Linked DNA regions of Sus scrofa. The protein of the gene in region 2 interacts with the protein of the main gene of each other region in a biochemical or structural test. Links are inferred from orthologs where the notes say so. Each region holds a gene or a part of one and is shown on either strand. Other genes may lie near its edges. The genes, in order: STK3, GABARAP and RETREG1.

Region 1 (3,993 bases), on a different chromosome or scaffold from region 2:
TTTTTTAATCAGGAATCTTTAAAATCTTTTTTTAAAAAACAAAAAACAATGGATGCTTCCTTCAGGAAGATGTACACGAGAACATGCATAATTTTGCACAAGAAGCTTATTCATGGATTTAAGAATCTCTCACTGTCATCTGTACCACATAAAATAGGACTTAAGGTCTTGCATCAATCCTTAAAAGTTATAGTTGCTAATCTTACAACTAATTTGTAAGTTTCTCAAGGCAAGGAAATAGTACTTCTTTACTCTCTTACAGTTCCTACCAAGATAAGTAATAGCAAACGGTAAATCATTGTGCTTTAACAGATTTTTTTTAATTACCTGCCTGCCCCCATTGCTTTAAGAGTCAGTTTCTGAAGGAGACAAGAGTTCTGGATTTTTTTTGTTGTTGTTGTTAAAAGTGTTAGGTTATATATTTCAGGGCATCCTATGAGCCCTGAGGCAGTATCCCTAAAATATGTTTATCAGGAGATAACCCGTATCTTACTGACTTGACATATAAATAAATACAATAAATCTCAGGATGCCATAGATCCTGTTACATCGAACAGATTTTATCTCCCATTCACACAGGACATGAGGCCTGCCTTCTGTTGTTACACAGAAAACCAGTAAAGGATGCGCTGGTGGTATCCCCAGAAGCTAGCACAATAAAACTAAATCATTCAGTCAAATCATACCATTACTGTATAATGTATACAGTGAACATGTGAGAAGTATTTCACTTTCAAATTGGCCAAGCCCCATGTCAGAACTTACATGGCACTGTTTGTACTAGATTTAGGTTATTTTGAATCATAAGCCCTATTCTATCAAAATGCTTGGGGTAAAAGTATTCTGGATCATTTAATTTTCTGATTAACCAAGTGCTTAAAATTTAAGCCTTTGGTAAAATGCAGGCTAGAGCAGTCAATTTAAGCTGTATTCAGTCTTGTCACATTCTTGGGGGATCTCTGCAAGTATCTGTGATTGCTGTAGCGCTCCACAGCTGGCGAGGCTGTGCGAGATCAGAGGGAATACATCCCCAACTTAGCCAGAAAGTCTGTTTGGTGACAATGGTGGATGTATCTTTCTGCCTTTTTTAAACACACATTTTTGTTAGCTTATTTTTCTCATTTGTTCTTTCCTAAAAGCAGAAGGGTTTTTTTTTGTTTTTGTTTTACTGTTTCATTGCAAATTACTTGAGGTTCTTTCTCGCAAGATGTGGCTTCCTGATTCTTCAAGGAAAGAATTCATGTTTTAATTGTTGAGCCATATTTCAAAGATGATGTAAAGAGTTGAAATATTCCTGCTAAAATTCATTAGACTTTAACCCATTATAGATAATTATTACTTTTTTTTCCTTACACTCAGTTAAAAAATCTAAGTTTAGAAGAACTACAGATGCGGTTAAAAGCGCTGGACCCCATGATGGAGCGAGAAATAGAAGAGCTCCGTCAGAGATACACTGCGAAAAGACAACCCATTCTGGATGCGATGGATGCCAAGAAAAGAAGGCAGCAGAACTTTTGAATCTAATTTCTCCTCTGTTTGTTTCTATGACTGTTCTGGAGACCAAGAAACCACTAAGAATTGAAGGGGTATTATGCTATCTTTTTCAATCTCTTAAGATCCGTGCTCTACAACCAGGCAGCAGTCAAAAACTGACGATGGTACAAACCCAGGTAAATTCCCCAAAGACAGAATTTAATACTGTATCCACTGTGTTTTCATTTTTTAAATAATGAAAACAGCAGAAATGGTGTTCTCTACATCTGTCAGCTGCATACCAGTACTAAAACTGTGTTTTAAAACGAAGGCTGTGTTTAGAAACCTTGAAAATCCAAAGCTGTTGTGTAATTGTACAGCACCGAAGGGCTTTATGTTACAGTATTCTTTATTCTTTTCTATTAGCCTATTTATTGTATCCCTTTAGGTAAACTTATTTATTTATGCTATTTCACCTTGTTTTGTTTTTTAAGGACAAGATCAGGATAGCTTTGGTGAAGGCAGGGACTATTACTAGATGATAATGAACAACCCAATTATACTGTAAGCAGGGAGCTCTGGGGTACATGCTTTCATTTCCAGGATAGTTTTCCAATAGAAGCAAAGCAATAATAGCAATAGTACCCAAAGGGCCCAGGCATTTTTTTATACAGAAGCAATAATTCCATTTTTACCTTCTGAAGTTTTAATTTTTTATTTTTGATGCTTGGTACAAATAAAACTATATATATTTAGGTCAGACAGAGCTGTAATGTTTAAAACCAAAGAAATCAATGGAACCCTTGCACAAAAAAGCATGGTAAATTTTTTAAAAGAAATAATTCCTTAAGACAAATGTAATTGTGAATATTGTTTCATGTGTAGGTCTCATAGCTAAACTGTATCAAATTGTAATAAGCTCATGACATTTTTTCTGTGAAAATGTGCTCAGTTGTCACCAGACATTTTTGTTGATTTCATTTATTTCCTGGGAATTGGTAAACATCATGTGCCTGATGATAGCAAAATAGCAGAAACATTTGTACTGAACTGTGCAAGCCTTGGGGACTGATAAAGATTAAAACTATTAAAAAGAAACTCATTTCTAAGCTGAATGAACATTTGCATGATTGAACTGGGACCAGTCATTTTCCTAAGCTACATATGGCCATCTTGACAGCGTTTGTTCTTTTGTGTGTTTAATTACTACATGTAAATCATAAAGACAAATAAATTTTACTGTGCCACCCAACACATTTCATCTCTGTATCTTTTTTTAAAAAACTCATGACCTGGATTCTGTCTTTTCCAGGGCAAGGAAGGTATATTTGTCTGGACAGGCTAGATTATGCTGTGATAACAACTCTGAACCCTTCAGTGGCTTACCGCTAGCCAGGTTATTTGGCACTTGTGTGCCCTGCTCCCATCTTTCATACCCAGGGACCCTGCTGACAAAGCTGTAACATCAGTGCTCACCACATGCTGACAGGCTCACTAATGACTACCTCAGGAGGTGTGTCATCTCTGGAAACTTCTGTTCTCCAAAATGGCAGCGTTGGGGAGTTCCCGTTGTGGCGCAGTGGAAACAAATCCAACTAGCAACCATGAGGTTGCAGGTTTGAGCCCTGGCCTCACTTGATGGGTAAGGATCCAGTGTTGCTGTGAGCTGTGGTGTAGGCCAGAGGCTACAGCTCTGATTCAAACCCCTAGCCTAGAAACCTCCGTATGCCATGGAGGTTCCATTTTCACTAAAAAGCAAAAATAAAACTAAAATAAAATAAAATGGCATTGTGCCCCAGGTAATGCCTGGAGTAGTGTTTCTTTTGCTGTGTTGAGTCCTTACAACTAGTAAACTGTGTAACTGGATACAAATTATAAGATCATTAAAATAGTGGAAAATATTGAAATTTTTATAAGTTATTAAAATATGAAAACTGAATTTACAACATATACTTCAGCTACATCTGTTTGGGGCAGTCAGGGGAGTCAATCAAACAGCCCACCCTTTATTTCTGTTTCTTAATTGCTTTTCTTTTCAGAATTGCCTAATACCTCACCAAATTTGATGAAATCAAATGACTGATTTGCTATCATCCAAGTAAAACCACCTAAATGAAATGACAAGAAACCTATGAAGATGATTTTGCTCCAGTTTGCTCAACTAGACAATTTATTACTAATAGGCTCAATAAGAGTCTGCCTTTTAATAATATCCCATGTTCCAATCCCAATTTTTATGTAAATACTTTATATAAAGTTGTTACTGTTATATTTATCATTATACACACACCCCTTTATCCAGAACATTTTTAGATAATCTGTCTTAAATTTTTCCCATCTTCTCACTCTACCCGCCACCAATCAAAAATAGGAATTTAAAGTTTTGAAGAACCAAAAGCCATGAGAAAAATCTTCAAGTCTAGGTCAGCCATGATTAATGGTTATTCTTAGGAAAGAGTTTTCTGTTACTTCAATGAGTTTAAAAAGAAGCCTCTTAACTATTTTAACCTTGGCTGCTGA
Region 2 (4,503 bases):
CCCGCACTCCCGGACCGGGCCCCCTCCCCCCGCGCCGCCGGCCGCCTGCTCCCTCCTCCTCCTCCTCCTCCTCCTCCTCCTCTCCTCCCTCCTCCTCCCTCCCTCCTCCCTTCGCGGGCGCCGACGCGCAGTGCATCAAGGGGATTGTGGTCCGTCTGGGGAAGACGGAAAGGGGACTTCATACGCCTCCGGAACTTCAGTTCCCAGCAAACCATGGGTTGGCGCAGGCGTACTAAACCGCTCTCCTCCCCCGGGGAGTGGCGGGGAGATTGGGAGCAGAGGGGAAAGCGGAAGAGTGCGCGTAGACTTCTGGGAAATGTAGGCGGGGCGGGGCTAAGAAAGAAGGGGAAGAAGGGATTAGATCTCTCGGCCACCATACTGCCTCATTCTGCGGCTTCTTTTTCCACCCGGGGACCGCCCCACTTCCGGCTACACGGAGACTTGGCTGCTGGGAGATGAAGTTCTCGTGGTAATAATGGCTCCCTCCTCCCAGTCTTCTCCCTAACTTGTATTCCACTCTACTGGAACCCGCACGCCGGCACAGAGTCTGGCTAAGGGACATATACCTGAGGACAGAGTTCTTTTACCAGCTCCACACTTGGAAAAAACCCTTCCTTGATTCAAAAGGTTATGACAAACTTGGATGGGATATCCAAAGCAGGTACTTTCAAACTTTCTCCACTGGAACCCACAGTAGAAAACCAACTTTTTTTAACCTCAAGCCCCTATCTATACACGGGTACATAACACAACTTTCATGAAATGATACTCAGAGTATTCCATCCATCACAACAAAAGCACACTTTCTCTGCACAAGGAAAAGCCCAACATAAGGAGAAGAAATAAAAATACATTACTATCCCTCCAACCTCCCTTTCCCCCATTGAGTAGAGAACAAAAGGCAGAGGGCAGCAACACAAAGCAAAATCCAGTTCAGCTTGGTGGTTTCCTCTTTATTGATGTGTATCCTACCTTCCCCGCCACAATTCAGTCCCTTCCATCTACCCCCCAAAAAGAAGGTAGTGAAAATAAGGGATTGTTGGGATCCTGAGCCCCCTGGGCAGTTAGAAAGGAAACAGAAACCAAAACGACCACTGGATGTGACAGAGATGGACAATCAAGAAGTCTAAAGCTGAGTGGGAAGGTGGTAGAGAAAGGGAAGGAAAGGAGTACTGGAGGCCATCTCCCCCATTAACCCTTGTTTTAAGAAGGGCTGGAGGAGAGTCTCAAACATTAGGAAGTGTAGGTCCTGAAGAAAGGAGGTGGTGTTTGAGCCTCAAGGAAGGACAGGTCGAGGAAGGTGGGCCACCTCTCTCTGTCTGAAGAATGGGACCCCCGACCTTAAGGGCAGCAGCTTCACAGACCATAGACACTTTCATCACTGTAGGCAATGTACAGAAAGAAGTCTTCTTCATGGTGTTCCTGGGGTGAAAGCAGAAAATGACAGTGCTCAGGCACCTGGGCTTTAATTACTTGAACCAACCACCACCCAGGCACATTCTTCCAAAAACATTCTTTTTGAAGACCCCCAAAACCAGTGCTTTGACTCTCCCTCTCACTTGCTCCAGACCCTAGCGGCTGAGCAGTATTATCCTAGCAGCAGTCCTAGGCATAAAAATCACACATTGTTCTCTGCTGCCTCGAAATGGGGAGGGGCCTGGGGAAAGTCCAGATCACAACAGTTGCTCCAACTCACTGTTCTCTTTTCTCTCTACTCCCACTGCCCTGTCTAAATCCCCAACCCAGAACTATAAGGAGATTTTAAAGCCAAATTTAAAACTGAGAGCTAAGTAAGCCAACTAGTCCAAGACCTGCTGACTTAAAACTTCCTGCCTCTCAAGTGCTTCCAACTCCTCTCCAAAGCCTCCACTACTTCCCAGACACTATACCTGGTACAGCTGACCCATCGTGGCACTGGTGGGTGGAATGACATTGTTGACAAAGAAAAACAAGGCATCCTCAGCTCGGAGATGAATTCGCTTCCGGATCAAGAAGTAGAACTGACCAACTGCCAAAGAAACAAGGTCTGAGAAAGTCTGAGGTCACAAACGCCTTCAAAAGAACAGCTGCTATGTGGAGCCTCCTCCAGCAGAGACCACATTCCCACCCCCCAGGAAGCAAACCTGGCTACTGGGTCAGGTTCTCACCTGTGAGATCAGAAGGCACCAGGTATTTCTTTTTATCTAGGTCTCCTATCCGAGCTTTGGGAGCCTTTTCTACTATCACCTGATAAAGAGACGAAAATTAGGAGACATTAGGTATACAGGCCCACAGCTCCACCTGTCAAGAACTCAACATTCCTAGCATCCCTACCTACCCCAGACTCATTTCTCTTTGTCTCTGAACACGCGGCGCAGTCCTGAGCAGGGATTCTGATCCCACTGACTCAAACTCACCTAAACCTCCAGAATCCCTGAATAGGACGTCATAACAAACAATGATTTTAATCAAACAGGCATGTCTTGTCTGGGCCGACTAGAGCTTCAATCTCAAGCACCCCCTGTGAAGCTCGGAATGTCAAACGCCCTACACGAATCCAAGGTCTAGCTCTCGCGCCTACATCCCCTTAAGCCTACATCCCCTAGCCCCCCAGTTCTAATGCTACCCCACTCCTTTCACCTCCAGTCCCACAGACAGCAGTTTCGGGCTCATTCCCAACCCTGCCACAGCTGGCAGCCTGATGCCCGCGCTGCGGGTCTCGGACTCAAGCCCAGGCTGTGGCGTCAGCGCCAGCGCCCCGCGCCCTCGGCCCTGGCTACTGTCCTCACCGGCACCCGGTCCGGGTATTTCTTTCGGATCTTCTCGCCCTCAGAGCGACGCTTCTCGAACGGATGCTCTTCTTTATACACGAACTTCATCCTCCCGGGAACCGGGTTGGACCGGGCTGGGCTGAGGGAACCCGGGGGGGCCGGGATGGGGGGCGGCGGCGACGGCGGCGACGCGCGGGCGGATTCAGCGGAGCGATCCCGGACCTTGCGCCACTTCCCTATTCACCAACCCCGCCCCCGGCCGTCAGAGGCCGCCCCACTCGCTATGTTACGCTCCTAGCTCAGTGGCCCCAACGCCACTAGCGTAGCGCCACCTACTGACCTCCCCCCTCACGCAATCAGCGTAATCGCTTTGGAATCAATTTACGGGCTACGCAGGCGACGTAGGAAAGGTGGCTGGCTTTTTGCTATCATAGAAAATAACTGAAAACCCATTTCCTGACTTTTTCCACAGGATGAAAAGGGCTTGGAGATGGTAATCATAATTTGAGACTTGGTTCTCCGAAAGTGCTTTTCAGAAGTAACAGAGGTAAAAAAGCAGATAATTACAAGGACAGCTATTCAGGAAAGGTGCTGGTACGCTGAAGGCGGCGGTTGACACCAAAACAAAGTAGTACCCCAATGGAGCAAGCGGTCTTTGGAAACAGAGGAGGGCAGAAACGAGACCTATGTTTGGAAAGACGCTTATGTTTCCAGAATGCTTAGGTTCCAGGAATGAGTGGACGAATAGGGACTGGAGAGGTCTGAAAGGTAGGGACTACGTCAGCGCGGAGGAACACAGTCTTCGCGGCTCACGGAGAGATCATGTGATCGCAGAGAAGGGCGGGGCGTCACGTGGCGAGTGCGAGGAAGTAGAGCCGGCTGCGGCTGGGGGAGCAGGGCCAAGGGGAGGGAGGTGGGGCGCCAGGGGCCTGGGACACCCCCCCCTCCGCCCCCGGGGGGCTGCGCCCGCTCAGCTAGTCTAAGTCAGGCCCGCAGACGAAGCCAGGCCTCTCCCAGCGTCCAGTTCTCTTTTCCTTTCAAACTTTTCTGTGTTACTGTTCGGAAGCTCACATTCCCTCTGGACACAGGGCTGTTCTTTCGCTCCCGGCCAGGGTATCATCCTGCCACTAAGACCCTCCCCGCCAGGGTGGCCAACACCCTCCCCTCAGGTCAACAGCTTGCTCCTTACCCTCTGCCCAGAGCCAGGGTGGGTGTGAACAAAGCCCCTTCATTTCCCCCAAACCCAGAGAAGGACCTAGGGCAGCTTTGGTTTCAAAGTTATAATGCATGGTTTAAGTAGACGAAAGAAAAAAAGAGAAAGCTCGTTACAGGTCTGAGGGACTCTAGGAAGAAGGGAAGATGGAAAAGGAAGGGAAGGGACAAGTTTGGGGAAAATCCAGTGGCCCAAAATCCCAGTTTCCCACCCACAGCCCAGCCCTTGGAGTGAAGAATTAGATCAGTTTTGTACAAGAGTTTTTAAAAAATCAAATCACAACAAAGCTGGCTTGGCTTCTCTTTGAGCCTCCCGGATTACCGAGTGTCTTTCGCTCACTCTGGCCAGTCCTGTCTCCACCAGACAATGTTTCAGCTCTCCCAGGCCTCCGCTTTATGTCCCAGTCTGGGGTTTCCGGGGAGTGCGAACACGAAGTTAGAGTGAGGCTGCTTCAGAATCTGGCCCATGTGTCCATCCAGACTCCATACGGAGTGCAGGGCTCCCAGGGCAGAGAGGGGTGGGAGGGGCAGACTCTGCCCA
Region 3 (4,855 bases), on a different chromosome or scaffold from region 2:
CCAGTCTCATCGCCCTTCCTTTTCCCCATGTGGCATTACATCAGTTGAGTATATTGGTTGAAACAGTAAATACAATTCCTTAGGACTGGAATATTGACCATATGCTAGATCTACCCAAGTCATTCCTGTCCATCAAAATCTAACTCAAGCATGAGCTCCTTATGGAGACCCCACAGTCTCTATCTCTCATTCATCTTCAAAGTGTATCAAAACCAATGACCCCTTCTCTGACTCTCCCACCACACGTGCCCCATTCAGCCTTGAGTTATTCCCATTTGTTGTGGTCATGTCTCAGTTTTTGTCCTTTCGGTGAAGAGCACTAAAATCTTGCAGATAATGGGCAGGTAATAAATGTTAGAGTTCTTGAACTCAAACTTGAAATCCTGAAAGCAACTGCTGGCACCAGGCACTGAACCAATCAGAAGTATGCATTTAAAAAGTTAATTTCCACAAAAATGAAATAACACCAATTAAGGTGAAAACATCATAAGGTTCCTCATGTTTCTAACATTGACCTTTTTGTTTTTCTCACAAAAAAAATAGAGAGCTTTAGAGTTCTTGGGACACAGAATGCCACATAATAGAAGTCGCTTGATAAGAAGTACACTATTTAGAGAAAACAATGTCCTTGAAAAATGTTTTAACCTCAGAAACAACAGTGGGGAAAAAAACTAAAACATTTCAGTGAAATTAATAAATTTCCATGTCACCACACTTATTTTAAAAAATGGATGGAAGACATCACTCCTGAATAATACCAAATATGCTTTTCAATTACTTTATGCAAAAATCATTCATTTCAATAGATGTTACTAAGAAGACATTATAGAAAAAAATATTTGCAACTCATGTAACAGAAATCAGGCTAAAGTTCTTAATATAAAAAGAGCTCCTATGAATCAATATGAAAAAGCCCAATGGCTCAATTAAAAATACAGACAAAAGTTATCTGTAAACAGGTAAAGCAAAGATAATTACAATGGCTCTTGAACACAAGAAAACCATGCTGAACCTCAGAAAAATGCAAATTAAAACCATATTTTGATACCCTTTTTCACCTATCAGATTTGCAAATCAAAAAGTTTGATAAAATGCTGCTGGCAAGGGTATATAGAGAAACAGACAGTCACACACGTTGCTGGTTGGAGTATAACTTGGTAGAACTCCATGGAAGCGCAATAATACAGTGATAGCCATCAAAATTACTAGTGCACATCCCTCTGATTCAACAATTCCACTTCTGAGAATTTATGCTACAGAAACACTGGCTTATATGCAAAATAATGCCTGTTCCCGCCTGGCCACTAGCTACAACATCGAAAGAGCAAAAGTTTGGAAATAATGTTGGTCCATCAGTAGTCCACAAATTAATCTGTGACAGTGATACTATGGGATTCTATGCAGCTGAAAAAGAACAAGGAAGTGATCGAACACCAAGAATAAAAGTAGTCCAGATGGTATTCCGCAATTTGTGTAGAATACTATGTATTTGCTGAAATATGCACTATCTGGAAAGATACACAGTAATCTGGTAACATCGGTTGCTTCTGGGAGGAAACTGGGTAGCCAGAGACAGGCATGATAGAGATTTACAAAGTGTTTATCCCTTTATACCTTTAAATGTTTGAACTGTGAGACTATTAGCTATTTTTTAATAAATAGAATTTAAAACCAAAGAATTTAAAAAAAAAAAAAACATGTCTCTCACTGGTAAAATGAAGGAGCCTCAGCCCTAAGACTACTGGACCACTGCCCAGTCTAGCATCGCACACTATATCATCCTTGTTTGAGTGCTCATGGTTAACGTCATAACAGGTTAGAGAAATATGGAAGGAATACTCTAGAAACATCCCAGAAAAGTTAATTCACATTCAGGGGCCCTGATAAGAAACAGCTCATTTCAAGAGAACACCAGAACTAGATCTGCAAGAACAGAGATCTGCAGGAAAAGCCTCCAGCTTAAAAGATCTAACCTAGAAAGGGGCAGGCTATCCATGTGTTGTTCAATAATTTATTTTCTAACTTAAAGGTTAAGAAACTTATGTCCTGTAACAAGGTACCTGTCACTGAAACTCTGCCTATCCTAGACTGCATGGGTCATGCTTGCTATGAAGACACAGTTGCAAACAAAGGCTTTTCTCCGCCCTCCACCAGTCTGGTAACAGATAACAGTGCACATCCTTCACTGAGGAGTCAGACACTTCCCCTGTCTTTAGAGGTGAAGGGTGCTTTTTGAAGGGACAAACCTGTTGATCAGGGGCTTTTCAGAGAACATTTCTTTGTATTATCTCTGTTCTTCACCCCAAACACGACTGTTTCCCATACTGTGCACACCTGGGGGTTGGGGGCGGGGTGCTGAGCATAATCCACCTGTTTGCCTCTTGTTTTCTCATCAGGGAGTAAAGACAGTAACCCCAACTCTCCAGGGAACGGAAAAACAAATCACTCAGTGCCCATCTCAGGTGGCCGATGGAGACCTAAGCTGGTCCAGATATGCCCGCTCTGGGTGTATAAACGAATACAAGTCCAAGTAGATGTGGTCCAGCAGGCTTTGGGCGAGCTGATCAAGACCTGCGAGTTTCAGAAGGCAAAGGTCAAGTACGCTCTGCGCACACCTGTCGGCCCAGGTGCAGGCGGGTCAGTCTACTACCTCCCCTGTGAGGCTGGATATATGCACACGGAGGATGACCACTGTTTGCAGGGAAGTGCGTGTGCAGGAAAGTTGAAGTGCCTGTCTACCTGTTCCAGAAAGGTAGTAGAGAGAGTGGGCCAGGGCTGAGACCTTCCACCGCTGGGTCCCGCGTGCACCCCCTACACCGGGGCCGGGAGCGCCCTCCGCCTGCCCATGGGCGCCCCAAGGTCACCTGCCCCCCCCCCCGCCCCCGGGCCTCCCCACCCACCCTGAGCTCTCACCAGAACAGCAGGTTGGCCCCGATGAAGGCAAGCAGGCTGCGCAGCGGCCTCCTCCAGCTCAGGAGCTCGTCGGCGCGGCAGCCCAGCCACAGCACGGGCTCCCCCAGCAGCCAGGTCACCGCGGCGGCCACCCCGCCTGCGGCCTCCTCCACCTGCGGCCCCGCGCCCGCTGCCGCCGCCGCCCCTTCCTCTGGCGCTTCCTTCTCCTGCTCCTCGGCGGGAGCCCGGGGCGGCGGCGCCTGCTCCGCGGCGGCTGGAGCCGGGCATCCCTGCGCGGCTGGCTCCTTGGGCGCCGGGCTCGCCATCTTCAGCAGCGCTGGCGGGCGGGGACGGGCACGGGCACGCGCGCGGGCGTGCCTGGGAGTCGCGCAGAGAGGGCGGCGGGTCCTGGTGCGGGGCGCGCACCGCGGGGCGCGGGCGGCTGGGTGCCTTGTGACGTCAGCCCCGGCCGAGGCGGGGCGCCTCCCGGGGGAAGTGGGTGCGGCCAAGTTCGTGCGCGGCCGGGCGGGGCGGGCGGCGGGCATTGAGGTGCCGGGCGGCCTCCCCAACCCGCGCTGGGGTGCGAGCGGGCGGCGTCCCTGGGGAGCGGTGGCCTAGCTTGGGACCGGGGAAGCGTGACCCCTTTTTCCTTTCCAGACGCGGTAGAGGACCGCCGCCAGCGGTCTTATCTAAAAGAAAAGTCACGGCAACGGGCAGAATCAGTTGGACATCCTCACTTTCTCATTCCAGGGCCACCGATCGCCCATCCTGCAGCCTTAAAGGGTGTGTGACAGGCGGCCCCTCCCCTGGCAGCAACCATTCCCCACCTAGACCGAGTGCCCTTGCAGGGACAGCCTGCACATCCGTAGCAGAGGTCTTTAGTCCTCTGGGAATAACGTGATGGTATAAAGGCTGGATTGAGAAATGAAAGGAAAAAAAATTGGGGGTCGGTTCAGGAGCGTCTGGCCCTCTTGTTTTAAAAGTCAGGAAACGACAGGCCGCAGCGATGGGGGATGGGGCTTCCTCTCTCCGACTTGTGGGCAAATTCATCTGACTCACAGATGCACGCTGGGCTTCAGAGGCACAGGTGAGAGGGGAGCTGACTAGCAGAACCCCTTGAATGTGTCACGCAGGTCTGGCCACCCTAGACTTCAGTCATTCAAAGTGGTCTCTGTGTCACCACAGGCATCAGAAGAGGGGCAGGACCCTGTGAGAGGGGTACCGGGACTCACCCCCTGGTGCTTCTGAGTGAGTGTGGGGGATTAGTGTTTACACTCACTTTTCATTATCGCATTTTTTTTTTTTTAGGGCCGCACCCACAACATATGGAAGTTAGGAGTCTAATCGGAGCTTCAGCGACCAGCCTACATCACAGCCAGAGCAGTGCAGAATCTGAGCCGAGTCTGCCACCTACACCACAGCTCAGGGCAACTGCGGGGTCCTTAACCCACTGAGCGAGGCCAGGGATCAAATTCTTATCCTCCTGGATACTAGTCGGATTCTTAACCCTCTGAGCCACAACAGAAACTCCCACTATTTGCATTTTTAAATGTTCTATTCTTTAATCCCTGTTCTTACTTTTCTCTAAGGTAAAATGTCCCTTCCCCTGTCCACAGCGGTCTACCTATGATGAGTCAGAGCATCCTATAGCCTCTTGGAGTTCACTGCTGGCAACCAACCTTCCTTCACAGGAGGGATGCCTCTCATTCCCAGAGCAGTTAAAGCCAGTTGTTTCCAGGGAGACTCTGGAGAATGTTCTATAAAGTTCATCTGGTGGTCATTATATATGTACCCATATGTAGAAATGCATTGATCTGTACTTGCAGATGTGTGCACTTTACTGTGTGTATGTTATACCTAAAGAGGGTGTATTCCTAGTTCACTCAAAAGGTTGCTGAGCACCTACTATGTGCCCAACACATTGTTAAGCTCTGTCGATATGGCTTCCACCCACAGGAAGCTC

Evidence for each region.
Region 1: the proteins of GABARAP (region 2) and STK3 form a complex in vitro, tested with the Homo sapiens proteins (2 studies listed by BioGRID and IntAct). The link is inferred for Sus scrofa from reciprocal best matches to the Homo sapiens genes GABARAP and STK3.
Region 3: the proteins of GABARAP (region 2) and RETREG1 are reported together in a solved structure, tested with the Homo sapiens proteins (2 studies listed by BioGRID, with this or other methods). The link is inferred for Sus scrofa from reciprocal best matches to the Homo sapiens genes GABARAP and RETREG1.

What each region holds. Positions count from the first base shown.
Region 1 is NC_010446.5:38,304,051-38,308,043, forward strand, and holds the end of STK3 (serine/threonine-protein kinase 3), read left to right. Parts: intron 1-1,359; coding exon 1,360-1,518; 3' UTR 1,519-2,727; downstream 2,728-3,993. UniProt on the Homo sapiens protein: Stress-activated, pro-apoptotic kinase which, following caspase-cleavage, enters the nucleus and induces chromatin condensation followed by internucleosomal DNA fragmentation.
Region 2 is NC_010454.4:52,595,203-52,599,705, forward strand, and holds GABARAP (gamma-aminobutyric acid receptor-associated protein), read right to left. Parts: upstream 2,965-4,503; 5' UTR 2,859-2,964; coding exon 2,769-2,858; intron 2,227-2,768; coding exon 2,148-2,226; intron 2,009-2,147; coding exon 1,890-2,008; intron 1,423-1,889; coding exon 1,357-1,422; 3' UTR 928-1,356; downstream 1-927. UniProt on the Homo sapiens protein: Ubiquitin-like modifier that plays a role in intracellular transport of GABA(A) receptors and its interaction with the cytoskeleton.
Region 3 is NC_010458.4:5,876,079-5,880,933, forward strand, and holds the start of RETREG1 (reticulophagy receptor FAM134B), read right to left. Parts: upstream 3,384-4,855; 5' UTR 3,219-3,383; coding exon 2,914-3,218; intron 1-2,913. UniProt on the Homo sapiens protein: Endoplasmic reticulum (ER)-anchored autophagy regulator which mediates ER delivery into lysosomes through sequestration into autophagosomes.